Linked DNA regions of Tribolium castaneum. The protein of the gene in region 2 purifies or fractionates together with the protein of the main gene of each other region. This does not show direct contact. Links are inferred from orthologs where the notes say so. Each region holds a gene or a part of one and is shown on either strand. Other genes may lie near its edges. The genes, in order: Kaz, armadillo repeat-containing protein 8 and UbcE2H.

Evidence for each region.
Region 1: the proteins of armadillo repeat-containing protein 8 (region 2) and Kaz purify together in Homo sapiens (affinity purification with mass spectrometry; 5 studies listed by BioGRID and IntAct, with this or other methods). This does not show direct contact. The link is inferred for Tribolium castaneum from reciprocal best matches to the Homo sapiens genes ARMC8 and MAEA.
Region 3: the proteins of armadillo repeat-containing protein 8 (region 2) and UbcE2H purify together in Homo sapiens (affinity purification with mass spectrometry; 3 studies listed by BioGRID and IntAct, with this or other methods). This does not show direct contact. The link is inferred for Tribolium castaneum from reciprocal best matches to the Homo sapiens genes ARMC8 and UBE2H.

The regions. Positions count from the first base shown.
Region 1 is NC_087395.1:21,467,433-21,478,965, forward strand, and holds Kaz (E3 ubiquitin-protein transferase MAEA), read right to left. Parts: upstream 6,725-11,533; 5' UTR 6,525-6,724; coding exon 6,486-6,524; intron 6,320-6,485; coding exon 5,620-6,319; intron 4,139-5,619; coding exon 3,988-4,138; intron 3,924-3,987; coding exon 3,728-3,923; intron 3,682-3,727; coding exon 3,580-3,681; 3' UTR 3,451-3,579; downstream 1-3,450. Other genes in the region: Ent2 (NADPH-dependent diflavin oxidoreductase 1), read left to right, coding at 1,643-1,823, 1,872-1,993, 2,042-2,244, 2,291-2,417; uncharacterized protein LOC103314256, read left to right, coding at 7,099-7,695, 7,741-7,846; DNA-directed RNA polymerase III subunit RPC4, read right to left, coding at 8,537-9,457.
Region 2 is NC_087394.1:22,530,069-22,541,446, reverse strand, and holds the start of armadillo repeat-containing protein 8, read left to right. Parts: upstream 1-6,109; 5' UTR 6,110-6,272; coding exon 6,273-6,308; intron 6,309-6,366; coding exon 6,367-7,188; intron 7,189-7,237; coding exon 7,238-7,404; intron 7,405-7,455; coding exon 7,456-7,676; intron 7,677-11,378. Other genes in the region: Sk2 (sphingosine kinase 2), read left to right, coding at 1,475-1,836; ankyrin repeat domain-containing protein 54, read right to left, coding at 5,092-5,253, 5,303-5,836. UniProt on the Homo sapiens protein: Component of the CTLH E3 ubiquitin-protein ligase complex that selectively accepts ubiquitin from UBE2H and mediates ubiquitination and subsequent proteasomal degradation of the transcription factor HBP1.
Region 3 is NC_087403.1:5,357,740-5,368,061, reverse strand, and holds UbcE2H (ubiquitin-conjugating enzyme E2 H), read left to right. Parts: upstream 1-4,562; 5' UTR 4,563-4,707; coding exon 4,708-4,760; intron 4,761-4,979; coding exon 4,980-5,056; intron 5,057-5,107; coding exon 5,108-5,275; intron 5,276-5,326; coding exon 5,327-5,455; intron 5,456-5,504; coding exon 5,505-5,623; 3' UTR 5,624-5,764; downstream 5,765-10,322. Other genes in the region: Creld (cysteine-rich with EGF-like domain protein 2), read left to right, coding at 1,396-1,542, 1,591-2,344, 2,388-2,611; Itpr (inositol 1,4,5-trisphosphate receptor), read left to right, coding at 7,827-7,921, 7,974-8,044, 8,097-8,212, 9,604-10,322. UniProt on the Homo sapiens protein: Accepts ubiquitin from the E1 complex and catalyzes its covalent attachment to other proteins. E2 ubiquitin conjugating enzyme that transfers ubiquitin to MAEA, a core component of the CTLH E3 ubiquitin-protein ligase complex.

The DNA.
Region 1 (11,533 bases), on a different chromosome or scaffold from region 2:
AAAATTTGGGCCCAGTCCCTTATTTTTGAAAACATTGCCAATAGGGTTAAAGATAAAAAGCGTACGAAAGGAAGTTGTAGCGAATTAAATTTCCTACAAAAAAATATAGATATGGTCTTAGGCCCCAAAAATATTCAAAACCTCTCAGTGCAATACGCAAATTGGTATAAGTTTGAAATTTTTTTCAATATAGTTTTGAATAAATTGTTTGCGTTATCTTTTACTACTGAGAATTTTAAGGCTCTATCTGGGGCCCGTTTCATAAAACTATTACAAGTGTTTATTGTAAATAGTTGTCATTCGTCTTCGAAATTTTGTTGCATTCTAAAATTACGTATTTAAACATCACATTTGACAATTTGACACAAAAGAAAAAATTAATAAAATGGACTAAACTTTTATTCATTCATTAAGTTACTTAAAAACTTTACAAATTTAATGGAATTTTAACAATATGAGTATAGTATGTCACTAAATTAGTTGAAAATATTAAAAATGAGGTTTTGCAGACTAACTTTTTAATTCGTTTATGTTAATGTTTATGAAGCATTCGAAAATTCTCAACACTGAACATAGTCTTTCTTTGAAAATCTTCACCAAAAAAATGTTAATTTTTATTTTATTTATTTAATATGTCCGTTCGTGACAATAACAAAACGTGATAAACTGAATAATTAAGATTAAACGGCACATCAGTAATTGTGTAAGAATATGTATAGATCATTAACAAAAAAATAAACTGTTTAAATAACACCTTTTATTTTCGGCCTAAACTTATCGAAACATTTACTTCATTCGATTATGTTCGGTAACTCGTGTTTACAAAACTCAATATGTAGTAGACAATAAAGAACAAAGGAATGAATTACCACAGAAAAAACTGAGAAATAACAAAAATATCCGCTACAGCAGTTTCTTCAAGATGACAAAAACTTACTTGAAAATTTTCAGATCATTACTTTGTAACTAATGCAAACTACAAACACTAATTTTGCAGACCTTGCAGAAACAAGATTTATTTTTATCAAACCAAATGAAGCAAACAAATAATAGATGAAGCTCTTGTTAGGTTTACTAACCTTTTTCAAAGCGTTATTGTTAAATGAATTTGTTAATTGAACAATAATAATAAAATAATTTTTAACAGAAAGTGCAATAACTCGAATTGAAGTGAATTAGTATCAGACGCAAATACTGACCCCATTTTTTATTTCAAGTTCAGAATTCTCATTTTAAGACAGCAGGAAATTTTTTATATTAAAACAATTTCAATAACTTGAAAAATATTTTCCAAATTGTGGTTTTACGTGTTTTACTGCCTTGGTATGAACAAAATTAAAGCAAAAAATAGAAGTGTTTGTAATATTTTAATTAAAAACGTATTTTGCTAATCTATTTGTTTCTACAAATAATTAACAGTTGATGCATGAAGAAAAATAGTTCAATGAACAAAAACTGGAGAAATCTCAGAAAAATGATAACTAATTACTTCCAGTTTTGGCATTTTATGAAATGAAATAACGCCGAAGAGATTAGAAAAACAGGTGTTATATTTATCATTATTTTAAAATAAAAATTGTGGGCCAATAGCGCGATTATTTCGGGTTTGACAACAAAATTTTTATTTCTTGAAATTTTCCAGCGATTCTACCGCCACCACGAGCTCCGCGAGAAGAAAAACGCGGAACTGCGAAAACAAATGAACCAGGGACGCACCCAACGCATCCCCTACTTGCACATCCTCAAAAAATCCCTCCCCCAACTTTACAACGTCTTTTTCATATTCTTCGTAACCCTATCAATTTTCCCAGCTATACAGACAAGTAATTAACTGTTGCATCCAATATTTTTTCTACAGTTTTGCATTTCAGACGTTAAACGTGGTGACGAGAATTTTTTTATTGGCGAGGACTATTACACAGGAATTACGTGTTTCCTCACTTTTAATGTTTGTGCGATGGTGGGCAGTTATCTGACTAGCTTACTGCGTTGGGTAATTGATTTCAAACACAAGGAACTTTTTTCCATGACATGATTTTAGCCCGGTCCGAAATATTTATGGATTTTTGTCACTCTCCGAGTGTTGTATATCCCGTTTTTCTTTTTTTGTAATTACCAGATCAACGGGATTGAGCGGCATATTCCGGTGTACGTCACGAGTGATTGGGTTTATTGGATAGTCGCCATCACAATGGGGCTGACTAGTGGGTACTTTAGCTCCCTGGCCATGATGTACACCCCAGGGTGAGTCAGGAGTTGGCAAATTTCCGATAATAATTTTTGTGAGTAGGTGCGTGGAAGAGAGATATTCCTCGACGGCGGGCATGTTCGCCGCCGCTTCTTTGATAACTGGTATCTTTACCGGGATTTTGTCGACATTTTTATGGCCTTGGATAATCAAGCATGTCAAATACTAGCAAAAGTGTTTGGTATATGATACGGAAACGGAATTATCTATACAATTTTAGATAGTAGTTTCTGTCATATGCCATAGAGAAACAAGTATGATTTCAATGGGTCCCGAATCATAGTTCTTCCAACTAACGAAGAATATTGTTTTGTAGCAGTTTTGTAAATAGTTTTAGTCCCATTGGCTTTTCAAAAATGTTTTCTGGGAAAACCACTAGATTTGCATTTTGATAAGACGTTTGCAAGACTGACCGTACATTAGTTCTAGTTTGCTACTTGTGTTTTCTATGTTTTTCAATAAAGTTAATTTGGTGTTTCTTGCTTTATTACATATCTGATACAATCATAATCATCTAAATACAAATAAGAGATAACTATTTATTCAGACTATTTATTATCGCCTTATCAAGTGACGTAGCTGATGTCCATTTAGAATCCAATCATATCTACCACGCAACGCAACTGTTGACTCTCTACTAACTGGCAGAGGCGTTGCAAAACGACTAACGGACTGTTGTACCACGAAAAACTGCCAAAAACTAGTAAAATTACTGTATTCAATGGTGTCAAAACGGTTTGGTTTGTCGTTTGTTGCACCACTTATTAGGTCGTCCATTGTACATACCTTGAGCAAAAAAGTGATGTTTTCGTAGTACAAAGTTTAAAAATGTCACTTTTCTACTCTGTTTCGACTAGTTTAAGATATATTGACACTGTTACACTCTTCTTCACCTCGACTCTTAGATAATATAAGATACAGGGTCTTGCTGACCAATGTTATGTCTTTGTTAACACTGAGTTACTTAGAATAGTTAGGAAACTTCAAATTGTTGAGCAGTTTCATTATATTTTTATAAATATTTTGTACAAAAGTCTGACGAGTACCAAATAGAGCAACTCGCTTTCTATTTGGTTCAATTTGATGCACGATAATTACAAATCATAAGGCTTTAGGAACATTCATAATCATAAAACGGCATTTAAACTGTAAGTTCTAGTGTAGTGGAATGGATTATAGGTACTGTCATAATAAACACTATCAGGAATTAAACCATTTTTTATTTCGATAAGCATAAAGTATATTTCACAAAAAACTGTTACCCTATGAGTACTTAACTTAACTCAACTTAGAGAGGTATAAACAATACTATAAAAAAGAAAATATCACATTTACATAACGTAAACTTTTTCGACTTTCTTAAACGGGAATATCTCTTTCGTTTTGGGACATATTATTTGCCCGTTATTCTCCTTCGCCATTTGTTCTAGCGCCTGCAAGTCGTCCAGTAACAACCGACCAATCGCAAAATCAACTTACTTGTTCTCCGTAAATATATCCATTGGGCAACATCATGGGTAAATTGTTTTCGTTTAGTGGTAATCCGCTAATATGGCAATAAAGACGTGACTGTGAGCAATGGGCGAAAGGCAAAGACTCTGCTAATTGGTTGAGGCAAGGTTGGCAAACTGGACAGGCGGGATTCCTGTTTTCCCCGTTATCAGAATAACACTGATTAAGTTTTGTTAAGGAACAACACTCAGTACAAAAACACACACGTAAAATGCATCAAAGGATATGGTGTTTTAAGCGCTGAAAGTCCAGCTTGAAGAGCCACTGTAAACACTGATTGTGAAGCTAATTGGAACAGTCGGTAGTTTTCTTGTCTAAATTGCTCGATGAGGGTGTCCCATCTGGTCTCGTCAAAGAGGGCCTTGTAGGGTTTTATTTCTGGAATTTTTCAGATGGCTCGCCATCAATCAGCACTTATTTACTTATCTGTTAAATATCGTTCAACAAAATGGTTTTTTTGGTACATTTATCTAAATTACGACAATAAAGCTTCGTGTAAATATAGACAATTCAATTTCAGCAAAATTTTAATTGTAGTTACGGTTTACAAAGCCATCATTTCGTTAAAAAATACAACACGTGCATGCATAAATAGAATACACAGGCAATTACTTAAAACTGATAAACTATTACCCATTATCGTGGAATTTTACTCAAAAAAGGTTGCAATTTGACTATATGCAAAATTGGACTAAAATAGAAACAATGTTCAGTGGAAAATTATCAGAGACATAAAAACGTGATGAATTAAAAATTAAAATGTATAAAATCGGTGACACATGCATATAGAAATCAAGGTAACAAACACGTGCAATAAAAATGTTTGAATAATAATAAAAAACTACGAGTGGCACCGACGGTTTTTAGTTATGAAATAAAACACTGAAAATATCGAATAATATTCTTAAAACTGCAAATAGCATTTAGTTCCGGAAAAAATGCTAGAACAAGCCTGGTTTAATTTTAAAAAGTGCCAAATATGAATTTTTTCACCCGTTAGTTTTTAATTTACCTACGTTTGTTTTAATAGAAACCCCTAATTTTGTAGCCCTTTCAACAGATCTTTTACTTGTCGAAAAGGCAATACCAAAACAAATTTTCACAAAACCCTTTAAACTGTTTTTCCACAAACTCTCCCTCTACCTCTGTGCATTTCTAATACTTCATAATACCTTCTTTAAAGTTCTTTGGCTCACTTTGTTAGATAAATATAACAAAATAAATGTGGATGTATAAAGTTATTTTTATTTTATTTAGGTCTGTATTTGTATTTAATATGTACGTTTATGTAGCACCTTTATTATTTTAATTTTTTAAATCTTTTAGGCTTTTTATGCCGACAAAATCTCGCAAAATAAGTGAGTTTCTGGATCAGGCCAATGATCGTAATTGTTTAAAATTACCTGAAATAATGAAATTTGTTTGTAGTTTAACAAGTTTTCATCGAAGAAATGTTTTGAAATAAAAAGCGAACTACTTTGCGGATAAAAATGGACTTTTTAAGTCAAAAATCCTTTTCACAAATTCACTTTATACCTAAATATCAACACAGAGTTGGGCAAAAATATGAAAAAAAAATTACTACATTTACAGTTCGGAAAATCTATTTGTTAATTACCATTTGAGGTAATGGTTCGTGTGTATTAATGATTATTATATTCATTAACTCCAACAATATTCATTATTTCCGTGAAAACTCCAATTAACATGGATGTGAAAAACCATGCGAATTTATTAGATGCGATTTATGTCAAAGCTCTCTCACACAGAAATAATCAAAAAATATGAATTACTTGATGGAATGGAAGCATTCAATAAAACATTTTTGTTTAAAATAAAATAAGTCTCAAAATACTGACCTGTACCTATCGGAAACGCCAAAAGCGCCATAACCCTCTGAATCGTATCTAAATGCTCGTCTTCGAAGCTCGGAAAATGCTTTCTCGCGTGCTTAATAGCGTCCATTCTGCGCTCAGACCTGATCAGTTCAACAAACTCCTGGATCCTCAAATTAAACTCCATATTTGACTTAAGCTTACGAAGTTTGGACTTATTGTCATGGCACCAAATCAAGCACTTGGACGTCTCATGATTCGCGAGACTCTTCTCGATCTCGCGCGACGTCAAAAAAATCTCAATATTGGTCAAGTCCTTGATATCGCTCTTCTCCGCCAGAGTAATCGCAGCGTTGTAATACCCATTCCTGAGGAAGTACTCCACCATCATCCTATCCAGCCGCTTCCTCTTCCACTGGTTGACGGCCCCCTGCGAGACCGTCCCGGCCGACGTGAGCGTCTCGCGCTCCTTCAGGTGCTCCAGCCGCCGCTTGCACACATTCGAGGCGGCCAGCTCCTCGGAGATGCTCTCCTCGGCTTTGCGCTTCAGCACCTGCAGCTTCTCCACCATGCCTCCAAGCAGCGAGGTGATGTCGCGCGCCCTCACATTACCCCCAGAGATGGTGCTCTCGAGCTCGCGGGCCGCCTGCTGCACGTGGGAGGCCTCCCTGTCGAGCGATTTTTGCGCAGTCCGGAACTTCTTGTTGAGGATCTCGTACGGCACCTGGAATTCGACACCAACAACGCCCTGAGACCTTGAATGGCGCTCTTATCGCGCGATAATGCAAATTTCGGGGAAAACGCCGCAGTAACGGGGCGGGGGCCCCACGGTGGGGCCGCGTTTTTGGAGACAAGACCCGAATATTCAAAGGATATGGGAGGTGGTTTACCTTCAACGTGGGATGCTCCAGAGATTTCAAGTCTGCCATTTTGGTGCACAAATAAAAACATAAATAAAACGTCACTCACTCAGCTGCTGGCTTCGCAAACAGCTGATTTTGTCAATAGAAATGGCAGGGAAGTTCGGGAAACGCGAAATTTGCGAGTACACGGCAAAAGCACATACAATTAGCAAGTTTGGTATTTTTAAAGAAGGAGTTTAGTCTTTGTTTAGAGCCCTTCCCCTCAACCTTGAAGTACGACCCTTATTATTACAAACACACAAACATTTCAATAATTCGTCCATGTTATACAACCAATTATACACAAAGCTTTTACACAGCAATTATCAGCCATAAAAAATAATAGTTTCCAGTTTTATCAATTACTCACTTTAAAACTGGTCGTAACACGTAAGGTGACAATCAGTAACAATCAAAATATTTTATTTAATAAACTCACAGACGGTATTATGTCATGGATGACAACCGTTGTCAGATTGTAGGTTAGTTTTACAACTCAAAACAAAACTTGAATTTCCTCGATTATTTATCCGACATTTAGCAACTTAAGGTTTGGCGGCCCCAATTTGTGTGTCCCCCACACCAAAACGTTTGGTTTCAGATGAAATCATCAACTATTTTAGTATTTATCGTTTACCTATCCATGACAAACGCCGAATGGGTTGACCCCCATAGCATGGACACCAACGCGAAGCACAAGGTGCCAGTTCGCTCCCCAAGTCTAGATCTCGATTCGCGAAAGCGCTACAGTTCTGGGAGTACACAATGCGACTCCGATATACATTTAAAACGAATTGTGCGCCTAATTTTGACTAACGCCTATTTGGACGATTCAATGGGGTACCATGAGGGTCACGTCAATATTAAATTGACGTCGAGTGAGCTTCAATTCCTGTTGAATTTCTCGCAAAGTAGTGACACCAAAGGGGACACAATTAGCGAAATAAGCTCGATTTTTGAAAATGCGTTGCAAAAAACGTCCCAGGATAGATACGAAGCGGTTGTTTTATCAGTTCAGGAGAGATTGTATTATTTGGTTTTTAATCCGACTTCGGGGGCGCTTGCCGCTGCCTGTCTTGTTTTATTTATAATGTATAAGTTGCTCAGGGCGCAATTTACGTGGTGGTCAATAGTGAAGTATTTTTTCTTGCTGATGTACATAATGGATTTTACGATCACATATTTGAGTATTTTACACGTGAGTTTATTACAACACGAGTGCAATAATAATGACTTTTCGTAGGAGGAAGAAATTGATAATTTGGTCGCGCTGAAAAATATGGGAGCGGTCCCGCCTGAATGTGACCCGAAAAAAATGTCATGGGGCACTTACTTCAAGACACAAATGCGTAAGTAATTTTAATGGATGTCTACAAAACGTGTGTTTGGATTTTTCCAATTTTTTGTGGTGAAATGTTCTTACAATCCCTCTAGGATGTTAAAATTGTGCGCTTATTGTCGTTATTATGTCCTTTAAAAAATTTTTCATTGAAGGATCCATTAAAAAAAAATATTCACTTTTTTCGCGTAGTTTAGTGACCTTTTTTTGCTTATTTTTGACCTAAATTTTGTGATTTTTCGGCGTGTTTCAGTTTAAAATAAATGGGTCCCCAATTCAAAACCAAACTAATAGAATGACATACACGAAAATAACATTAATTTGGTGTTTTTTTGTGCCAGGTTTGACTAAATTGTTCGACACAAATGTAGTTTTTACACATCAAAATACTTGAGTTATTATATTCTTTATAAAAAAGAATTATAGGGCCGGTTTATGGAAAGCTCCATTAAAATTTAACACGTAGTTAAAAGTTAACGTGAATGAACCAACAAAATTTGTTCAATTTGGTCACGTGATCATTTAATCACACATTTAATTGCAGATTAAATTAACGACGCTTCTGTAAGATTATAATTTTAGGAACAAAAGAGGTGCGACTTTCATCGAAATGCGAAAGTCATTGCAACAAAAAATCGCAAAAGTCCAAAAGTAGGTTTTATAGATAATTATCATAATTTATTTATAGAAAATAGTACAATTATTTTTTACTTAACAGTGAATCATAGTCGGGAAACATGATAAAATTGTGTAAAACGCTGCCTAATACCGCTATGCTGTTTTCCCCATTGGGGCCCTCCGTTATCGTGGCTAGGTCTTCTCGAGCCTCAAACGTGTTTTCAGGGCTCAACTCATATTTGACTCTACCGATATGTACTTCCATTTTGCCCGACCTTCTAATCACTAGTTTGCCAATTTGGCCCTCGAGCATGTCCTTGAGGGTGTAATCGAACAGTTTTTTAACGTTAGGATCGTCACTCAGGCCTTTGCCCGCGAAAGAATCCGGCAATTTAACTAAAGCTAAAGCTGGGTTTTCCTCACTATGTTCACTATTAAACGGTTCAGGTACAAACTCCAAATCCTCTTTCTTGACACTCACTTCCTTCTTAACCCTGCGCACCGGATCCAGCGACAGTGTCAAGGGCTTGAAAGACATTTTCTCGTCATCACTATCAATATCACAGTTCGCCAACTCGTCCAAAACCGCCTCTTCGGCTTTTTTATTCACAGTCCACGAGTTCCTGTTAATTGTCGGTAAAACCATGTTCGAGACCGTGCTGTTGTCCCTGAAACTGACCCTCGGCTCGGAGTTGTGGGAGGTCAGTCTTTTGATTTCGCCCGTGCCTTGCGAAAAAACCCCGCTGGACTGCACAAACTTCGGTTTCTGGTCCTGTCTGTTGTGGCGGTCTCGGTGCCCCGTCCGGTCCTTGCGCTTCTGGTCCATTTTCTTGAGAAATTCTTTCGTTTTGTCCTTGTTTCTGACAACATTGAGGTTAGGTGTGTACTGTTTCTTCGGCTTGGCGATTCCCAAACTCAGGTCGCGGGGGAGTTTGAGGGACTGGAGGCGCCCCCCGGAGACCTCTTTATCGGACACATTTTTGAGGAATTTCTTCTCGTCCATTTTTCAGAAATAATGTAAACAAAACGGCGAGTCAAGTGACGTTCCTGGGGTTTTTGTGCCGCTCGGGTTGCATCACTATGGCGCGTCATTTGAATCATAGACAAGACAGTTATTCACTGGAATAAACCGTTTTGCTCTACGACTTTTAGTTTTTAAGTTATAAATTTTTAATAAATAATTCGGCGCATCCACCATTTTTCAAATAAATAAATAAATTTTTTACTAAGTCTTCGAGTGAGATAGTGTTGTAAAAATGACGGTGTAATACAGAAAATGAGCCGCTGAATTCACTGGAATAAAACGTTTTTCTCTACGACTTTTAGTTTTTAAGTTATAAAATTTTAATAAATAATTCGACGCATCCACTATTTTTCAAATAAATAATAAATTTCTAACTAAGTCCTCGAGTGTGGTAGTGTTGTAAAAATGGCGGTGTAATACAGAAAATGAGCTGCTGAATTCACTAGAACAAACCGTTTCGCTCTACGACTTTTAGTTTTTGAGTTATAAATTTTTTAATAAATAATTCGGCGCATCCACCATTTTTCAAATAAATAAATAAATTTTTTACTAAGTCTTCGAGTGAGATAGTGTTGTAAAAATGACGGTGTAATACAGAAAATGAGCCGCTGAATTCACTGGAATAAAACGTTTTTCTCTACCACTTTTAGTTTTTAAGTTATAAATTTTTAATAAATAATTCGACGCATCCACCATTTTTCAGGTTAATAAATAAATTTTTTACTAAGTTTCCGAGTGAGGTAGTAAATAAAAATGACGGTGTAATACAGAAAATGAGCCGCTGAATTCACTGGACTAAACCGTTTTGCTCTACGACTTTTAGTTTTTGAGTTATAAATTTTTTAATAAATAATTCGGCGCATCCACCATTTTTCAAATAAATAATAAATTTCTAACTAAGTCCTCGAGTGAGGTAGTGTTGTAAAAATGGCGGTGTAATACAGAAAATGAGCTGCTGAATTCACTAGAACAAACCGTTTCGCTCTACGACTTTTAGTTTTTGAGTTATAAATTTTTTAATAAATAATTCGGCGCATCCACCATTTTTCAAGTTAATAAATAAATTTTTTACTAAGTCTTCGAGTGAGGTAGTGTTGTAAAAATAGCGATGTATTATAGAAAATGAGCCGCTGAATGCACTGGACTAAACCGTTTTGCTCTACGACTTAGTTTTTGAGTTATAAATTTTTAATAAATAATTCGGCGCATCCACCATTTTTCAAGTTAAGAAATAAATTTTCTAACTAAGTTCTCGAGTGAGTTAGTGCTGTAAAAATGTCGGTGTAATACAGAAAATGAGCCGCTGAATTCACTGGAATAAACCGTTTTGCTCTACGACTTTTAGTTTTTGAGTTATAAATTTTTTAATAAATAATTCGGCACATCCACCATTTTTCAAATAAATAAATAAATTTTTTTTAGTTTTTGAGTTATAAATTTTTTAATAAATAATTCGGCACATCCACCATTTTTCAAATAAATAAATAAATTTTTTACTAAGTCTTCGAGTGAGGTAGTGTTGTAAAAATAGCGATGTATTATAGAAAATGAGCCGCTGAATGCACTGGACTAAACCGTTTTGCTCTACGACTTAGTTTTTGAGTTATAAATTTTTAATAAATAATTCGGCGCATCCACCATTTTTCAAATAAATAAATAAATTTTTTACTAAGTCTTCGAGTGAGGTAGTGTTGTAAAAATAGCGATGTATTATAGAAAATGAGCCGCTGAATGCACTGGACTAAACCGTTTTGCTCTACGACTTTTAGTTTTTGAGTTACAAATTTTTTAATAAATTATTCGGCGCGCATCCGCCACTTTTCAAGTTAATAAATAAATTTTTTACTAAGCCTTCGAGTGAGGTAGTGTTGTAAAAATAGCGATGTATTATAGAAAATGAGCCGCTGAATGCACTGGACTAAACCGTTTTGCTCTACGACTTTTAGTTTTTGAGTTATAAATTTTTTAATAAATAATTCGGCGCATCCACCATTCTTCAAGTTAATAAATAAATTTTTTACTAAGTCCTCGAGTAAGGTAGTGTTGTAAAAATAG
Region 2 (11,378 bases):
CATGTGTAACTACTTCTAATTAATTTACTTTTTGTTTACATATGACGGACGGGACAAAAAAATCTTGTGTGTGAAAGTAGCTCTAAAAATTTTATTCAAACAGACTTTAATTATTAAATACTTTAACAAGTTTAAAATTAGACAGTGTAAATTAAAAATTCTTGGTTTTGTTTAACAACGTAAGAAATAAGAACATTTGATGTTTGTGATATGGGACCGGACAACAAAAGGTATAAAGATAAGAAAATAATATTACTAATCAGTTTACTTACTGATTTTCATTTTCTAAATTACCAGAAACTAGAAAAATACTCTTCAAAAATTATTCAACAGTTGTAGTGCGTCAGAATTTTATGTTATCGCCTACAAGGCAATGTATGTAAATTTTAGAATCCAGTTTATTTTACTTCAATTTAAATGATTAAACCTCGCTCAAAAACTCTTTTGTCGCAAAATACGTTAAATATAAACCGAATCTGGTATTTTAAAAGATTCTAAAAGTTAAAGAAAGTGTATTTTACATAATATAATATGCATACATTTCATACACTTTTTATATAGTTCTACATAATTTACTATGTCTACCATAAACCAATAAAAACTTCCCCACAAGGCCACAAACACCGTTTCTAACATTATTAACTTGTCACTTCCATCTTTCAATGTTTTTTTTACAAGAATTTAAACGACTTATAAGCCTGATGAAGTTTATTATAATAAACGAAACGTTGGAATTCGTCGTTATATTTAAAACCTGTTAAGGAAGTTGCCCCTATTGTCGTTAAATTTTATTCAATAAATGAAAAATACGCAAAGTAATGAGAAATAAAAAATTATTGAATTATTCGAAAATTATTACTAGTCTTATTAATAAATTAGATTAATACATACTTTATTTCGTGTATCATTTTTAATAAGGCGAAAACTAAAAGATATTTCGAAAAATGATTACATTTTTAAAGTAGTTGATGTACTTATTAAGTTTTTTCGTAAGGTACATACGGACTGTAGAAAAAAGAGTGTAAATTTTCAGATGGTTCTGGATTTCAAATTCGCCGCATTTCATTATTTTATTTCTATGAAATTTCTGAGAAGTACCATTTTTTATCTACTCAGGCCACCAGTAAAACCAAATTTTTCATATACTAACATTGTTCGTTTTTTCTGAAAAGAAGCAGCAAACTTTCAATGCCTACTACGATCCTACATTCATTTATAGACAAATTGTAGTTTTGGCACAAAATACTTGGTTCCAGACTTTTGCCTATCTCTGTATGTAAACCAATACATGTAACCTTAAAAAAATAAAAAGATTAAAAACTTCAAAGGATGTAAGGTCTCTTTAAAAAAACTTTGTAAACAATTGTGTGTGTAGAGTATTGTTATCGAGTTTCTTGACCAATTGTATTTGTTTCTCGTTTAAGTCGTTAATTCAACTGCTTGTGCAGCTAGATGATTAATGTTATTATTCCAGAGACATGGAAGTGCATAGAGGGGCGGTTTGTTATGGTGCACGCCTCCTATCAGACGCATTTGGGGGAGGATTGCCTTTTCGCCCCCGATGCCAAGCTCAACGACGGCACGATTTGGTTGCTGATCGTGCATGGGGGCACCACGAGGACGCAGCTGTTGCATTTTCTGTTGGGGCTGAGCACGGGGGCACATACGTCGATGGTGGGCGAAGGGGGCCCGATTGAGCTGATAGCAGTGAATGCGTTCCGGATAGAGCCGGATATGAACGAACAGGGGTATATGACGGTTGATGGGGAACATGTTGAGTATGGGCCGATTCAAGCTGAGGTTTTTCCGAGTTTGGCGAGAGTTATGGTTCCCTGATCGGAACATTCCTTAGGTACTAATTGTAAAAATAAATCTAGGGTTGTGATTTTATCTACTTTAGAGCCACTCCTTATAAGGCTCGATGGCATTTAATGGTGGTCGTTTTGCCGGCTTTAATCTTGCTGATTTGTTTTTTATTATTATGGAGAGAGAATCACGAGCTCCAGGTATTACATAACAGCTGATCAAACTGGCCTAGCTTTAATACATAGTATTACGGCAGCTTGACTTTAAAAGCCAAGCTATATTAATTGTTATTAATTTTTGTTCACGAGGCAGAAATCTTATTATTCCAGTGATACGAACACCAGTGTAAGGAAAAAACTTTCATAGTTGAGACAAGCGTCTCAGGAGATTTATCTATTGATCTAGTTAGGTAACATTAATGTAATGAATGTTGTTACTTCATTATAAGGAATCACTCATAAATAGGCCATTATTACTGAACGGTTTTAAAATCCAAGATGCCAATACCGTAGTGCTAAAAAATGGTACATTTGTCAAAAGTAGAAATGAGTTTTAATGTTTCTGAGCACACAATGCATATAGTAAAATAGACCTTCCAGAACAAGGCTTTAATCAACATAGCTTTACAGTAAAAATTATTTGTAAACGACTAATTTCATAGTAACAATAAAACAGCAATATATTTTATGATAATTTTATTCAAGGTATATAGTCTTATCTTTAAAAATACCAAGTCAAGTACGTGGTTTACATGAAATGTAATTGGAAGTAGGTACTATTTTATTTGATATTAAGAAAAAAATCCACCAAAGATTTACCGAAAATAATATTAAAAAAATCAACAATTACATATTTTTTAGTTCCGTTCACATTTTTACCATTATTGGAAAACGCTGCGAATACGGTTAAAAATTGAAAGAACATTTTAATTGTAATCAAATTTTAATTCGAGATTAATTTAACATTTTTTGTCAATGCATTTTAAATGGCAACTTAATGTTGAATTAGTTTAATTCTGAATTAAATTTTAATTTCGCTTTCTATAAATCGACCCCCCCCCCCTGAATTAAATTTTCTTTGAAAAAATCCACTATTTTCAATGGTTTACGTTCAAGACATAACAAATGAAACGTTTTTGTTACTAGGCATATTTGATGCCTTCAGACCATCTTTAGATCCTGAACCGTATTGGTAAACGGGGGATCAAACTAAAATGTTTATTTCTTTATTTTTTTATTATTTCTTACTGAAGAGCGAATACGAATATGTGTGTAAGTCGTGGAGGGAGAAACTTGTGGAGAGAAGGTCTGAATTTTCCGTCAAGTGTACAATCAGTGCGCAGGTTTGAAGCTGTGTCTTCAATACCATAGGCGTATCATAGATTCTATACCGTCAAATTATTTGGATTCTTTTTGACTTACAGTTTTGTAATGTATAGTAATTTTAAATAATTGTTAGTACTAACGGTTAGTGTTTTTAAAGAAGTGTATTTTGACAATGGTTAGCTGCAAACTTTAAGTGCCCCCAAAATTAAAATATGTTGACTACACCACTGGTTTGAAATTTCAAGTGGGAAACAAAGTGCGCGTACTTTGAAAAGGGTAATAAAAATTGTTTGTGTAAGGACCACGGTTTCTCGCTTATGTTCCCTCCACAAGTTTCTCCCTCTACGGTGTAAGGTCTATTTGTCCATAATTTTGATCTAGATATTCTGAAAATGTAGATGTAAAACTATTTTTTAATTTGTTTCTCATAAATTTAGGATGGATTGACTTGGTCCTTAAAAAATAATTGGACATAACATTGTATTTGTTTCTTGAGCGATATAAAAAACTCATGTACAGTCTGTTTCAAGTCTTATCGCCGGAGCAACAATAAATCTTTCTAGTCAACTAAAATAGTTATCAATAATACGAGTGCGAAAACACAAGTTTAAAGTTCGAAGGCTGTTGTTATGCAACGAGCGTATGCGAGTTGTATACCTAGACACCCGAGAATTTTAAGAGTTTTCGCACAAGTGTTATTCAATTTTTTTGTTGGAACATTTTAATTTAAACGTGTTTTAAAATAGTGTTTATAATCAATGATTCAGATATTAAAAAGAAGGCTTTAAATGTTACCAATAAAAAATATATTTATAACCGAAATGGTATATTTAATTGGGATACAGTTTGAAGCTCTAGTATTCAACTTTTTAAGGTTCAGTGTGAGATACTATAAACCAATTTTGCAAAAAAAAATCAAGTTATCGGCATGTTGTCTATATGGTAAAATTAGTTGAATTTAGTGGCAATTGCTAAAATATAATTAAGCAAAAGTTGATAGGTTTTGAGTAATTAACATTTTAACGTTACCTAAAGACCTAAAAGTTTAAAAATTTATGGTAGGCTTAGTGGCAACTGGTGATCAGGTCAGAATTCCTTTTTCAATTATTAGGGAATTATCTGTTAGGAATTTACCACAAACCGAGTTAGAAGTAATCCAATTTTTGTATCTTCAATATAAAAACATAATTATTCAAAATCTGACAACTTTTACTTAATTCTATTTTAGCAGGTACCACAAAAATTCAAAGAATTAGGTCTTTTTTGTGTTTCACAGCCAGACTTAAAAATTTGAACAAAATGAAAGCATAGAATTACAGCGTATTTATCTTTTAATCAACATGAAAAAATTATTTTTGGCTCGGCCATAAAACTTGAAGTACACTGTATTTCAATTCTAGTCAGAACTACAATTAATTTTCTGTAGTTCTACGATTACGATGAAAGAAAAAATATGTACTATTTTTATTTTTCGCTTTTTTAAAAACTAACTGTTAAAAAACTCATTTACTACAAAACGCATTGTCAGTCACTGTTACCACCAGTCTTTTTTGTAATTGTGTGCGAGTAACGAGATTTTGAAAATAATTTTTGTACCTGAGGGCCTTCTTGTTGTTAATTAGATTGTTAACTAGTGAAGTGTGACATTGGCTGGTTCATTCGTGCTAAGAGCAATTATCAGTAATGCTCATGTTTGTAGGCAATAATCCTGCAATTCTTTTAATCATGTGACATGTCTTTTAGCTGTATGTTATAGTGAAATAATTACTGTAGGTGAAGGCTGTGAAATATTACAAAACCTTTTTTAAACTTCACCATGTTTGTTATTTATTTGTACACGGATTTTGTTTGCTCAAATTATAAAAAAAAAATGAAATTGTTACAAAATCATGGTATTAAATTAAAACTTATTTCTGTGATTATAATATTGTAAAGCAATATTTAAATAAATAAGATGAGATTACGAAATCTTGACTCCCTGCAATTCCATTAATAGTTTGGACATTTGGTCATCTACAGTCTCTGGCGCCTCCGAATTTAAGGAAAGCTTCATCATTTGGAGATTGTCAACGTTGGTTCCCGGAGTCTGCTGCTTATACACACTTATGAGTATGTCCACAATCTAAAACTCCCACAAATCAAAAAAGCGAAACCAAACACTTAATAACTACCAATTGCAACTCTGTCAGAACTTGCACCATTTCAATTGACCCGTCCCTCCAACTCCGCCGCAAAATGTGCAATTTACTTTCCGCAAGTTGCACAGGGTTTTTCCCATACAAGTCCAATTTTCTCACATCTGCTCCTGCGTTTAATAACAACGAGATTATGGAAAGATTGTGTGTACAGGCTGCTAGGTGAAGCGGGGTGTTGCACAGTTTATCGTTTTGGTTTGGATCAGCGCCCCTTTCTAACAAAAGTTTCACAACGTCTTTGTACCCCTTACTTGCAGCTATGTGAAGGGCGCTCCTTCCGTGCGTATCTGCAGAGTTGGGGCTCGCCCCCAGAGCTAACTGTTTCTCGATGTTTTCGGTGTTGTTGCTAGCAGCAGCAAAAAGAAGACGGGCATCTCGCAAAGTCTTCATTTTGTTTTTCAGGGCGGCATAACTCTGACTTTTCATTAAATTCTTAGCTTTTAATTCCACATGGAGCTTCTTCTTGAACTCCCCTTTCGTCCGGTTCACTTCACTATCACTGTGAGACATTTTTTGGCAAAGAACCTGACATTAAAGTTGCGAAACTTCAACCTACGCAATGTTTATTTATTTATGGCAAAGAGACAACTGCGCAGCCCCCAATTGTCAAATGTCAGGTGGGATTCCCACTGCATCAAACATTCATATTTGAAAAAAGATGATATTTTCCAGTTTGCTATATCCTAATTAACAAGTATTGTACCCTGTGATGTGTTACACAATTCTGGGTGCTCCTAATTAATTACTACCTTGTTTAATTTATATTTTTGTGGCCACTTTTGAAGTATTGCACATTCGAACTTTTGCGGGGAGTATCCGTTGCGTAAACGCCGTAAACGTCAAGTTGAATGTTTAAAGTACAATTTTAAAATAAACTCGAAATTAGTTGCGTGTCTGTTGTGATTACCCGAAGAACCTTTTTATTTATTTTAGTTGTGACCGTAGAATGATATTTGAGATGCAGCCATTTACGACTTTCATGGTAAGTCCCCGCAGTTAACCTCAAAAAACGCCGCTGACACTTGCCCGTTTATTTGAAGAACGTAGAAAGCACCCGCTCCTACATCGACAACCTGTACTCGTCAGATCCTGAGAAATGCCTAAACTCGATAATTTGCATCAAAAACTCCGTTATTGGCTCGAACCGACAAAAAGAGAGCGTGATTGCTCAGGGTATAGTGCCGCGCCTTTTGCAGCTCCTCGAAGATAAAAACACGAAATTGGCTGTAAGGATCGAGGCTGCAGTGACGATCGGGTCGCTGGCCAAGGGAACGACCGAGCATAGCGAGATTCTCATCAATTCTGGCACTGTTGAGCTGCTTTTGGACATCCTGGAGGAGGACGAGCCCCGCTTAGTAGACGCGTGTTTGTGTTGCTTGCGTACTTTGTCTCTGCTGGACTCGGCCACGGCTCAAAATAAGTTCGATGTGAAGCGGTTGCAGAAGTTGTTGACTTTCGCTGGGCCGGGGGAGAGTCTCCAGAGACAGTCTTGTGTGGCGAGTATTCTAGGGTCAGCGTGTAAGACGCCAGTGGAACAAAACGAGTTGTGTAATGTGGGGGCGCCGAACTTGCTCGCGGCGCTCCTGTCAGTGCAAAATAGTTCGGTGAGGATACCCGTCTTGACGTGTTTGGCGGCAATGTGTTGGAACAACCAAAATGTAGCAAATGCTATTGTCAATACGACTTACAAAGATATTAAAGTTCCCAACCATTTGGCGACTTTGATCAGTAGGGATAAACCCATAGAGATGCAGTTGGAGGCCGCCAAATGTCTCACGAATTTACACAGAGCTGGGGCTATCCCAGCCTACGATCCTATAATAACTTACAGAACTCTGCCGTGTCTAGTCCGACTATGTCAGGTTGGTTTTCATGAAGTAAAATTGCTCCGTTTGTAAAGATTTTTCTTAGATTGAACACTCGGAACCACACAGGGCAGCAGCAGCAAACACTTTAGCTTATTTAACAGAAGTCGATAGTGATTTACAGCAAGTCGCTGCAATTAGTAATCAATTAGTCAGTGCTTTAGTACATTTGTTGAGTTGTCGTAGTGTTGTGGCGAGAGAAGCGGCCTTCAGGTATTAATTTTTTATTTTTTGATAATTCGTTCAATAAGTGTTAATTTTTAGAGCGTTTGCTTCTTTGGCAGCGAATGACGAAGACATAAGAAAAAGGATTATCGACACAAAGTGTCTAATGGATAGTGTGTTGGAAGGTTTAGATGATGAAAATGAAAATATTAGGTTAGCAGCTGTACGTTGTCTTCATTCGTTGAGTAGGTCAGTGCAACAGTTGCGTACCACCTTCCAAGATTACTCCGTGTGGCGCCCCCTGATGGCGCTTTTAACAGGTAAGGAGTAGACCCAGCTTTAGGTGTCCCATTTTTGCGAAAAAATGTTAATTTGCTTTTTTTAAAAAGCTGCCATCTGTTTTACTTTTATTACGTACAGAATGACATTGGGGGCATTTCACGCGAAGCCGACAACAAAAAAAAATTGACAATTTGAAATTCGGTTATATTCGGGATAATTGCTCTCCTAGAAAGCATGATTGTAAATACATAATGATTTTTTTGTATGACACTTGTGAAGATATTGACTTCTAAAAATTTGACGAAATATGAGACACAGAGTTTTTGGAAGCTTTTATTCAAAAAACTGACGCATACCAAAATATTTAAAATAGTGCTTTATATAGAAAATTTTCTGTTCTTTTTGGTTTGAAATGAGATTTGGAATTTGAAAGTTTTTTTGTGAAGAAAACCGGAAGTGAAGTTTCAAATCCGAATTTTAGTAACTTGGACCATTTTTTTTTAAATTCACTTTTATTTCAAAAAATAGCTTATAATATCTAGATTTTACACTATAAGTCGTAAAATGGAATCTCTATTTCGTTAGGAGATGCAGTACTTAATGTACGTGATCGGTCGGTTTACGCAAGAAATTACGCGCTTTTGAATACATTAAGTACTATATCTCCTAAAGGAATAGAGAACCCATTTTGCGATTTATAGTGTAAACCCTATTTACTTTAAGCTAATTTTTAAAATAAAAATAATTAAAAAAAATGGCCCAAGTTACTAAAATTCGGATTTGAAACTTCACTTCCGGTTTTCAATACGATAAAAAATTCAAATTTCAAATTTGATTTTAGAGTTAAAAACACTGTAAATTTTGTGTATAAAACACCATTTTAAATATTTTGTTACATATTGTTTAATTAGAATAACAATTTACAAAAACGTTATGCTTAATATTTGGTCAATTTATAGAAGTCAATAACTTTTTAAACAAGTTGCTCACAACAAAAAACCATTACGTACATTCACACCTTTTAAGAGAACAATTGTAACCGAATTTCAGGTTGTCGCATTTTTTTGAGTTGTCCGCTTCACGTGAAATGCCCCATTGATTTTTTATGCAAAACAATATTTTTTTCACTATGTTGACTTCGTTGTTTATGTGAACAAAATAAATTTTAAACATTTGTCTTACTTCATTTACTGTACTGTAGCTGCAAATAACACATTTTATCGCATGTTTCTCTCATGGCATAACATTAGTAACTACTTACACAAATAAAATAATTGTGGGCTCCGATTGCAAGTAGCATCTTTATAAGACGCTTTGTTTAATTCGTTGTGCAAAACAATCTTAAAACAACTAACAGTTCATAATTTGTGAAACTGAATTCTTTGGAGTTCCGTCCTGAAATCTATGCCAAACGCGGTGGCCAAAATCTGCTAAATCAAACAAAAATAAAATGTGACACAAAATTTACACTCCACACATACATTTCCATGTATTTTGGGTTGCATTTTATCGTCGTTAGGGTCGTCAACTTATACGAATCAGTTGGCACATAGAAAATTAATCACACTTATAAATTTTTGAATAAGGCAGTTTAAGGTACTTTTGATCTTTACCTTAAAAGTCTTCAGGTATGTAATATAGTAGATCACCTTGTTGCATTGCTGTATATTTTTTGGCTTACAATTGTTCCGTTTATAAATATAAATCAAAATAATTTTTAATCTTGAAAAGAAGCTTCCACGTCACATTTTATTGTTTTTTCACTGTAAAAGTAGCGAAATAAAAATGTTTCTGGAATCTCCCCATACCACTAAGTGTAAAAAGTTTTAGACCGATTAATTTATTATTAATATATATAATTAATAGAATCAATTTAGATATACCAGGAGCCTAAAGATTGTGATTCTTGGCGTCAGGTTGGCAACAAATTTGAAATATTAACTTGGCAGTTTTGACTATCAAATTTAAATGTAAAAATTTTCTATATTCATTTGTCGTTCACTTCCGATTGAGGATCACTGGCATGGCAGTTAAATGAAAGGTGGCAGGGAGGCCAATAACTCATTGTTGCCAATAGATTTTTTGCCCCAATCTTTAAGTCACCCCGTAGCTTTCTCCACTCATTTCGTATATTTGCACATTTTGTTTCATTTTTAATTTTGTATCCAAAACATTCAAGGTACTTTTCAAGTTATTTTCACCATTTTCTCGCACATAATTTCAGCTCGTATTTAAATTACCATTGTACAGTTTTTTAAGATTCCTTTTTTTACTTTTATAATAATACAACTTAACCAAATATCTAAGTTTTTGGTGAAAAAGAGAAAATATTTTTTTTGGACCGGGATTCTTCAGGGACATAATGGCTTATGTTTAACTGTGACTGTACAGGGTGAGTCAATAGTGATGCAACCAAAAATACTAATTGCTCTTATCACTTGGAGTTTAATTTTTAAAAACATTGTTTTTTTATCTTTTAAATAATAATAGTCCATAATGAAACAAACAAACTTGAAAATACAATACAATCATGAATTAATTTAAAACAATTTTAATATTTACCGATCTGATCTGCTGTAATCAGTATTATTGGTTACATATTAACAAAAATTCAGAATAACCCACTATTGACTCACCCTGTATATGCTAAAACCTTCAGTCGTAATGCCCCCGGTAACCCCTTAAGTTTGGCAAAATCTTTTTGAAATGTCCTGTATTTTGCATTCAATTCATTATTAATCTATGATCGAAACCGAGAACATAACTTTTTTGATACCAGTATACCCTTCGACCATACATCATATAGACTCGCCGTAAAGCGAGTTTGTAGGCTGGTTGTTTGAAGCCAACATGTAATGGTGAGAGGAGTGAGGGGCAAGAGGAAGCTTACTCCTTTTTCAATGGCAGCTCGTAGTCAAGGGGCAAACAAGTGAAAAAACATTATAAGTCTCAGAAATAATTTCAAGTTTTCGAGATTCAAAAAAAATGCATTAGTTAAAGTACTTCTAATTCTATCTTATGACATGTCGTCAGAGTTGTGATATTCAAAAATATTCAGTATCAAAGCGGAAAATCAGAATACGTTACGACGCCACTGGTGTGTTCACATATTTAGGTTAACACATGTATTTTCTTACTTTCGGATGACATAACCGATGAATAAGCCCTTGTGGATACTTTCTCCTGTATATTTCGACGCAAGAACCAGATTTTACCCATTCACAAGTAAATTTAAGCCCAAAATTCACCATTTTTCCCTTTAATCACAATCGTGAAGCATGAAGTTTGACGAATATTAACGAAACACTTGGAAATATTTTGAATGAACCAATCAGAGAAGGGGTACGTAAGGGTCAAATTCGCGTACCAAGCCTCATTTCCCCTTGCCCCACCTGCACATGTTGGCTTCAAAACAAATCTCACCTTGCCCAGTCTACAGCGTGCTCAAAAACTGGCGCACCAACTCAGTGGTGTGTGGTAGAGAAGTGGTTACACATAATGGCAAAAATAGTAAAAAAATTCTTTGTATTAAAGTTATTGATAAATAACTAATTTCAGGTAAATGATATGTAGCAACGTTGTCTAACAGTCATGATCGCAATAGAATTTGAGCAACAATAAAATAAATATATTTTGAAACGGTTTCTTAGGAAATAATTCCCAGTGTTGGCACATCTACACATTGTGATTCTTTGGGTAAATTTTAATTTTTTTTTATTAAAAAAACTGCTAAAATCTGA
Region 3 (10,322 bases), on a different chromosome or scaffold from region 2:
ACATGCCCACTAACGATTTTCTTCCACGTATATCGGTGTTTTTCTCCTGATAATTTTTTTGACTGATTAAGGGATAGATACTCTAAGTTGGTCGGATACACCATTCTTTTTACCTATTTTGAGTTTGTATTTTTGATTTTTTATTTCAAATTTCAGTAGAAATCGTCTTAAAACATGTAAAAATTACAAAAAATGTTTTTGATAAATTGATTAAAATTGTTAAACTGATTTATTTGAACAAACCCAAGAATAATTCAGGTCACCTCATGAAATATAAATCCACATAATTTCTTCAAAAATCAACAAATTTGTGTATATCTTCTAGTCAAAAATAGTGGATGTACGTTTACAATTTGGTGCTTTTACGTACTTCTTTTACCTTTTGCCGCATTATTTTCTTATTTCTGTCAGTTTTATGCTCCGCTTTTCGTTTATACGTCTATGTGCTCTTTTAATCTCTTATTTTTGTTGACGTGTTGTTTCACCTACTTTTTCTACACTTTTTTTCATAGAAAAATTGTTACATTGATCCGGGTTCGAACACCCGACCTCCACCGTCGAAAGTGGCGCTTATACCACTGGCCCACCAGGCCCCAGGTACTGGCCGTCTTTTGCAAATATTTTAACATAATATTTTTAGATAAATCAAAATTACAAACTATAATTGCCATAATTGCCATAATTATTATATTTCCATTTTTAAGAAAACAAATATGTTTTGAGTTTAAAAAAAGTCCTTAAAATTGCTTGTTTGGAATGTTAAAATCCGGTCTCTAAAATAATTAGAGTAGGCTGTGATATTTTTTTAACGTGTATGAAATCGCTTGTTATCAGTTAATCAAACTGAAGAGTCAAACAATAAAACTTCGAACAGTTCAAGACTGGTCTTGTGGAACTTGTTTTTTAATATACAACTATTATTAATATTTACGTCAAAAAAACTTTTGTTTCAAGTAGGTACGGTATATGGTCAGGAGCAAGGTATGCTTTTTAAAGATTTATTTAATTTTTATTAAAACTATAATACTAAATTGGAAAATTGCCTAAGTTAGTGAAACTAAAAACTTATTTTGGTTTTTGTTGACGGCTTAGATATACTTATATGCAACTTTAAATACATTTTGAAATGTTTGCTTTAAGAGTTGTCATCTTACGGTGGACGGATAAGTCGACATCGAGTGGTTATTATCGGATAGAAAGGTTTCTACCTCGAAAAAATTGCATAGAAGAAATCTGTAATTCAGCTTGTGTCTGTCAGTCGTCGAGTCGGAGAGTCGGTGCGTGTGGAACATACCGCATTTGTAATTCTTTAAATAATGCCAAATTAGCAAAACTGCGTCAATTAGTGAAACAGAACCCATTTAGTTTCATAAGCCCATTCCAGTGCTTCTAAAAATGCGAAAAACCTTGATGGTCTTGTGCATAATTTTAAACCTAACCCCAAATATCCACTACGTGTCAAGCTCAAGTAAAGAAGAGGCTGCCAAAGCGAAATTACCACCCTGTCGGGCGTGCAAAATTTTTATCGAATCGTTCAAAAAGGTACGTTCCCATTGATGCTCAAATTCAGTAATGACAACAAAATAACAGGGCATAGAGAAGACAAAGAAGGGTAAGTTCGAGGGCGGCGACACCGCTTGGGAGGAGGAAAAGCTGGGCAGTTACGCCACTAGTGAAATTCGTTTGATCGAAATTCAAGAAAGCGTATGTTCCGATGTTGTCGAGGGTAAAGACCAGTGCTACGCCCTTCACGAGCAGTACGACTCGGAAATAGAAGAGTGGTGGTTTCACAAACAGGGCGACGAGCCCGACTTGTTCAAGTATTTTTGCATAAAGACCGTCGAGCACTGCTGCCCTGACCTGCACTATGGGACCAACTGCACCCCCTGTCCGGGGTACCCCGACAACGTGTGCAGCAACAACGGGAAGTGCAAGGGCTCAGGCACGCGCAAGGGAAGTGGGCAGTGTAGTTGCGACCCCGGGTACACTGGCGAGACGTGCAATGCCTGTGCCGAAACCTACTATGAGGCCTATAAGGACGAGAAAAAGTTACTTTGCTCAAAGTGCCACACGTCCTGCGAAGGGCCCTGCTCGAAGGCGGGCCCCGCTGGGTGCGAGAAATGCAAGCCGGGCTGGGTTATGAGCAAGGAGAAGGGCTGCACTGACATCAACGAATGCGCCACCGCACAGTCGCCCTGCAAGTTGAACCAGTTCTGCGTCAACAATGACGGCTCTTACAAATGTTTAGACTGTGATAGGTCCTGTGCCGGGTGCACGGGCGACGGGCCCGACATGTGCACCCAATGCGCCTCCGGTTACGTTCTAGTGGACAACATGTGCACAGGTACTAACCCGCTTATTTTCCCACTAATCTAACTTTTTCACAGATGCAGAGCAAGAAAGCCGCAAGCAACACGTTTTCCTGACAAGATACATGACTTATCTCGGCCTGTGTGTGGCAACTTGTATTATTTTCAACAAAAATACGATTTTAGCCGCTATTATTGGAATTGCCGTCGCGATTTATATTTCCGTGTCTGAGTATGTTCTCAATTCCCCACCAATTCCAAAAACCGACGATTTAGCCGAACAGTTACTGCACTCACAATAGATCGTTTCGTTTAATGTGATTTTGTTACCGTTTTGATCATTAGGTGGTAAATGTACCAAATTTTTGAAGTACGATGTTAGTCAAGAAATCTTCCGTTCGTAGGTTTAAGTTACTGTTTGTATATACTGACTGATTGTTGATTGCATAGATTTATTTATTTTTCGGTTTAGTGGTGTGATAGGCAATTTATCAAAATTGTAAGACAAGTTTTGTACTTTTCAATAAAGGTATTGCCAGAACAACTGGTTTTTATTTCGAAACTTATATCCATTACCGTCTAACTAATTTCTCCAGCAAGAACCACGTGGAAGTTTAGAGCATTCTTGCCAGGAAAAAAGGAAGTAAGGATGAGGTAAACAATGATTATTACAAAATAAAGGGATAAAGGAATTATTGGTTTGTGAAATGAAAAAATACAACACAAAAATCGTTTTTTTTTCACTTAGCGTTAAATAAAATGCACTCACCTTTGATATGACATTTGCTTATGCTACTGTTTGTAGCAAGGCATTAAAAATAAATTAAAAACAAAAACAATAAAAAAATAATTTATTTGCATGAGAGCTACAACAAGCTGTTATAAATATTATACAAAATAAAGAATATACAATACGGTATAATATATAAATAAAAAAAGCACCTACCTTCATATGGTTTCTGCGTTGGCTAATGTTTGTAGCAAAACATAAAAAAAAATAAAACAACACCGTTGAAAAATCTTTATTTGTATGGAAGTTACAACAAGCGACTATTATCAATATTATACAAAATAAAGAATACACAATACGTTATAATATATAGCAATTAAACTATTAAATTCAACACCTCACAAGATAAATAGAAAAAAATACACCTACCTTCATTTGGCTACTGTTTGTAGCAAGACATTAAAAGATAAAATAAAAACAGCACCATTAAAAAACTTTATTTGCATTAAAGTTACAGCAAGGGACTCATAAATTGAAATTAAAGACAAAGTCACTGAAACTATCACTTTTCAACACCTCATTTAAAAAATTAATATGCACTTCCGCTACAGTTTGTAGCAAAATAATAAAAATAAATTGAATGGGGATGAAAGATTTAGACAGTGATTTGAGTTTTTGGCAGTTTTTTTTTTAATTGATGGTTTCTTTTCGTAATTCGGCTAGTTTTAATAGTAAAATATAATATTAAAAACAGCTTCGAAAACCACAAATGTGCCTATGTGTCCTTTGACATATCACTAAATTGTTATTTGTTATTCGTTACTGTGTTACAAATAAAAAAATATTTACAACAAAAACAAATAAACAACGGTATCAAGAACAAATTGCATGAATAACGTCAGATAACAAGCGTACCTGCTATCTTGAAATTGGCAAGTCTTAGCGACCATTTATGGTAGAAAAAAGTGAAAAAGCTGATTACGAGTGCCAGATTTATTTTTGGTTTATTTGTGTAATTGGCAATTTATCAAAATTGTGCGGTTTTCGTATTTTAATAAAGCCGAGATGGTTGCAAACAACCGCTCAATAATGTTTTAGCGATTTCAGTTGAGTGGTCATTAATGGTAAAAAGTGGAAAATCTGAAACGCAAAGTCACGATCGAGATGAGCGCAGACTCATAAACCGCCCCCGTTATAATTTATGCCACCTCATTTAAATTTCCAATTAAGAGGAATTAATCTCGGTAAACAATTTGGAATTGTGTCGAAAATTGTGCGATGTTATGAATAATTTAAAGCACGCGTGAGTGATTGAAAAAATGCGAGATAATTAGCGTAATCGCCACAATAGAATCTGGCGGTGATCGGCAAAGAGTCGCTGTGTGTTTGGGATTGAAAGTGGAGAATTGTGCGTAATTTGGAGAAATTTGTTCGTCCTTTTGTTCGAATAACATTTTTCCCCCCCAAATCTGTGGAGTCATGCGCAAGAGGGAGGCAGTAGGGAGTTTGTTGTCAAACGTGAAGGTTCACGAAAAACGTATGTGGATTGGTGGAATTCCTGTTGGGTTTTCGCCACGGCCATTGTGTGTCGAAGTGGTTACGTCTCAAGTGAAAGAGCAATTTCGTCGGAGTTTGGATTCATGGTAATATTTTTATGACAACAGAACCATGTCGTCTCCAAGTGCAGGAAAACGACGTATGGACACAGATGTTATTAAACTGTATCCTTTCTTTGTGTGCGATCCAAATGTAAACAACAACATTATCCTTTGTATCAGCTGATTGGGAAATTACACGTTATGTGACTCGTTAATAGGGCCATTTATTTTTTGGGTGCGTACTCCAATAGGCGAATACGTGTGCTATTTTTATCTATGAACAACCTTAAGATTCCTGACAATGTGTTATTGTCTTGTTTTTTAATCCTTAACACTGACTAGAATTGAAAGCAAACACGAAGTCACGATACTTGGCGGCTTGAACGAATTCTGTGTCAAATTTTACGGCCCCAGGGGCAGTAAGTCCTTCGGTTGCCCCATTTTACATTATTTTCATTGATGATTTCCAGCTCCGTATGAAGGGGGAGTGTGGAAAGTCCGTGTTCATTTACCTGAGCATTACCCTTTCAAATCACCTAGTATAGGCTTTATGAATAGAGTGTACCATCCAAATATAGACGAAATCTCAGGGACTGTCTGCTTAGATGTGATCAATCAGGCCTGGACAGCCCTTTATGGTATATCCTCGCCACTGCGAGATTTATTTCATTCCCGAGATTATTTTCCAGATCTTTCAAACATTTTTGAATCATTTCTTCCACAGCTGCTAACTTACCCGAACCCCATTGACCCGTTAAATGGGGACGCAGCAGCAATGTATTTACATAAACCCGAAGAGTATAAGAAGAAAGTCTCTGGTAACTGTTGACAAAAAAGCGATTGTGGTGTTAAGTTGTGATTTTTTAGAGTATGTACGTAAGTATGCAACTGAGGAGGCTTTAAGGGGGCAGGAGAACGTGAGTTCAGATAGCGAATCAACCATGTCAGATTTTTCAGAAAATGAAGCTGAAGACATGGAATTATAACGCAGGCTGTCTACCATTAAAAGCTCGCTCAATCCTCTCTTTGCTATGAATAACAAATTCTTTTTAGTGTTACATGTGATGTGTATTAGGTTTGATTTAATTGTTTTGCATTTTTTAGAGTTTATTATGTTGCACGTATTGCGAATTGCTTAATTTTTTTCAGAGGAAATGTTTTTTTAGATTTACAAATTAGTTGTAGTAACATTAATATCTCATTAATTTGCCTTATTATGTTAATATTGTGATGATATGAGCGTAGCGACATATTTATTTTATAGATTTAGTCAGAAGTAGAGGAAATTTTCATTGTTGTACACGTCATTGAAAGATTTCTGTTTCAAATAACGCAGCTGGAAGACCAATTTATGACTTTTTGTGATGTGTACTATTTGTTGTATTTACATAATGTCACAAACATTTTGTACAGTATGTTTCCTCTACTAATTTAGTTAGTGCAATAGATATAAGTTGTTGTCACTTGTATTAACTTTCAAGTTACACACACCATTGATATCATTATGGTCTCATTGTATATACATTAATTGTCTTTAATTTAATAATATATTTTTAATAAATGTATCTTTGGCAACATTTTTTCTTGCACTGTCAAATAATAGTCAAACATTTGTTTTGATATTTTGTTTTTGTATCAAAACAAAAAATAACACTGTCCATACATGATCCACATCACGAAAATGTTTGTAATTTTGATTATTACTAAGATAATAAGTGTAGGTCATTTGGTAGCATTTAACAGTAATAAAGAACTAAATTTATTACGTACGAGTGTCATTCACCCCAGCTAATGTTTCCTAAAACATTTATTTTATGATATCCCAGTTAAGTCTGCAAAAAGTTATTGTTGCAACCCATCGTTATCTATATTCATTTCTTGCGCAATGAACTAAATCGTAAAGAATCATTTGGATAGGAAAAGTTACGTGGAATAATATTTTTGTAATAAAAAAATGCCTCCATGTGCCTAAAATCCTATGCGTTTTATTGGAAGGGTGTATTCCCTAAAGTTATCCCTTGACCTTTGTATTATTGGTTGCATACGCGTGAAACCGAACATAAAAATAAATACTTGGATCGAATTTCCAGTTCTTTAATAAAACAAAAACACTCCCCACAACAATTGTACATTAGTTAGAGTTTCTAATACCACTTATAGATAAAGTTTTTACAAATGCTAAGATAAAACTACTATGAATTAAACGTGATTACTTGATTACCGCTTCATTCAATCGTTCATTCATAATGTGCAGCAAAGAAATAAAAACAAAACTAAATAAATAAAATATAAAATAAAAGATTCTACAATATTAACTATACAGACCCTTTAATTTAACCATTCAGTAGGCGCCTCAACTAACTAAATTCACCCCATTTAACACAAAGTGAAAAATAAAGAAGTTAAATTAACGCATCTTCACTAGTAACTGGTTTTAAACTGACTGATGGGTAGAAACGTGCATATTGTGAGATTTATTATGCAAAAGGATATTTAATAACATTGATATGCACGTTGTGGTATCATTTTTCATCGTTTACTTTTTTATAATAGAGACATTCTAAAATATGGATCTAATTTTGGCGGGAATGAGCTTTTTAATTTGCGCATAGAACGTACCCCTAGGAGTTGGGGTTTCCCCGTTTTTATCCTCTATAATATAGTGGGTGTATTTGTTATATTGGTTGAACAAAGACAAGTTATACGTTCTCTTCGTCTAATACATCGATTAAACGACAGATAGATAATCTGAGCAACTCATCAATATCTGTCTCTGTTTTAGAAGGTTTGTTTCTTTGCTGTGTAGTGTAAGCAAATTGTGTGTTATGCGAAAATTTCTATTTACTTGCGCTCAATTTCTATGAAAATTCATTTAATATGTGGCTGATAACTTGAGGATACGAGAAACGGAGGAATTTCTATCGATTAAATCTGTAAGGTGATACTTAAACCACATAACCTAATTCTGTAAGGATTTTTTTATTGTTTTGTTTCTTCATAAATTATCGTTATTTGTTGAATAACATCAACAACAATCTTGGCTTTATCTCATCTCATATCGATTCGTTCTAAATAATGCAAACAATCGATTTTCGAAGAAGACGTTTGCTAACAAACATCCCATTTCATTCGCAGAACGTACACTGTTTGCAATGGTAAAGCTCTGAAAACGCTCCAAAAACCAGCAAAATGAATGAAATGGGTTCGTCTAGCCTTCTGCATTTAGGGGACATCGTGTCCTTATATGCAGAAGGTACAGTTAGTGGGTTCCTCAGCACTTTAGGGTGAGCTACACTCGATCTCTTCATGACCATATATAGAAAACATTTATTTTAGGTTAGTAGATGACCGTTCTGTTGTATGTCCTGAAGCTGGAGATCTGTCTAATCCACCCAAAAAATTCAGAGGTTGTGTATTTAACAATAACAAAAAAACAAATAGCAACAAATGTTATTTCAGACTGTCTGTTCAAAATATGTCCCATGAACAGATATTCAGCACAGAAGCAATTCTGGAAGGCTGCAAAACAGAGCATGAGCTCAAATACAGACACCAACCTTTTAAAGAGGTTACATGTAAGTACTTTTTATATTCCTTAATTACTGGCTATTTGTACTCCAATAATTACAAAAAAGTACGCAAACAAATGTCGACACTACATCAATTACAGCAATAATTACATATTACTACTGGTGTTGACAAATTTTTAATGCAAAAATGCTGTAGATGTGTATCAGGTGACGTGATGAAGTTGAGGCGGACTGGAGACTGAACAGACTTTTCAAAATTTGGACATTTTTGGTTCAAGCTTGAAATAAAAATTCTGGATTGGAAAATAATTCGTATCGTTTTACTTGTTATATAAATTTAACCTTCACTTAAGTGCTTAATTATAAGCCATGTACTCATTAGGAATACTTTATATAGATATCCGTTAATAATTTGCGACATTTTAAGCTCGAGTTGAGTTGTTATAAAATTACACTTTACCAGAAAATAGGTGACTTTTCTATAAAAAAACTTTCCGCTATAGGTTCATTTTTAGCTATTTTTAAACAAACACGCACCGTGTGAACTTGTATCCGCAAGTATGTGAGCGAATTTATAATAAAAAGTACAAACAAAATTTTCGTTTATTTTCACTCTGGCTGACTTAATTCCCTCTTAATTGCCAATTTCCTAAGCAAATAATTACGTTTAATTTAGCCAAAATAAATTTCTCATGTTACGTATTCTTTTATCAACATTTTTACCAACAACTGGTTTGCCCACCTAACTTCTCAATACACAATGACTAGTAACACAATACTCCGGAGACAAGAGGAGTTCGATATCAGAAACCGGAATTTGAGTTCGGTGTCGCTTTGGAGTTGCACGCTGTTCCCATTTCCTCTTTCACACATGCATCAAAACAAGTAATAAATAATCGGCACCATAAAAAATATGACTAATTTATTACAAAGACAATGGACGTTAAAGATGAAGTGATAAGACGAAATGTCTTTCTAGCTAACCGGCAAAAAAACTAAACGTTATTTAAAAAGGAAAACAATGGCAAAATAAAATGTTTTTATGTAAGTTAGTTCGTGAGTTATTGACATGACGAACACGTTACATATTATTTTTATTACTGTCAGTAAATAATAAATTCTAATTGTTTTTTATACTTTGTGGTGAAATTGCGAAATATTTGCTGAACCAGGAACTAGCAAAGAGAAATGAGCAAATATTTAGAATGCTTCTGTGACTTAACTCTAAATTACTTTGTAATTACCACAACATATCAGAAGTAATTAGTGAAATGTTTTTCCTCGGAAGTTATTTAAAGATATTAGATATCAGAAAACAAACCTGCGTGTCGTTCTTAAATTACACTAAAGATATTTTCTCAAATAAATGCTTTTGTCTAATTTTTTTATTAAAGTTCTGAAAAAACCAAAGACTGATTTTGATGATGCAATTCCAGCACGCGGCCGAGATCGAAAAAAAGCAGAACGATACAGAAAACAAAAAGTTGCTTGGTACCAACGTCCAGTACGGTAGCGTAGTCCAACTCCTTCATTTAAAATCCAACAAATACTTAACCGTTAACAAGCGCTTACCCGCGCTTCTTGAAAAGAACGCAATGCGAGTGTACTTAGACGGAAACGGCAATGAAGGTTCCTGGTTCTACATTTTACCGTTTTACAAACTGCGCGCAACCGGGGATAATATAGTTCTGGGAGACAAAGTCATTCTAAACCCTGTAAACGCGGGTCAGCAAGTCCTCCACGTCGCGGCTAATCACGAACTCCCAGACAACCCCGGCTGTAAAGAAGTGAACGTTGTTAACGGAAGTACTTCCTGGAAAGTGACCCTTTTCATGGAACATCGCGAAAATTCGGACGAAATCCTGAAAGGGGGCGATGTTGTCCGACTGTTCCATGCGGAGCAAGAGAAGTTTCTGACGATGGACGAGTACAAAAGGACGCATCATGTTTTTCTGAGGACTACTGGACGGACGAGTGCCACTGCGGCAACAAGCAGCAAGGCCTTGTGGGAGGTCGAGGTGGTCCAGCACGACCCTTGTCGCGGCGGAGCCGGGCATTGGGACTCGCTTTTTCGCTTCAAACATCTCGCCACTGGGCAATACCTAGCCGCGGATGTGGACAATGACCAGGCTACTGATCAGATGAGGAGCAAACT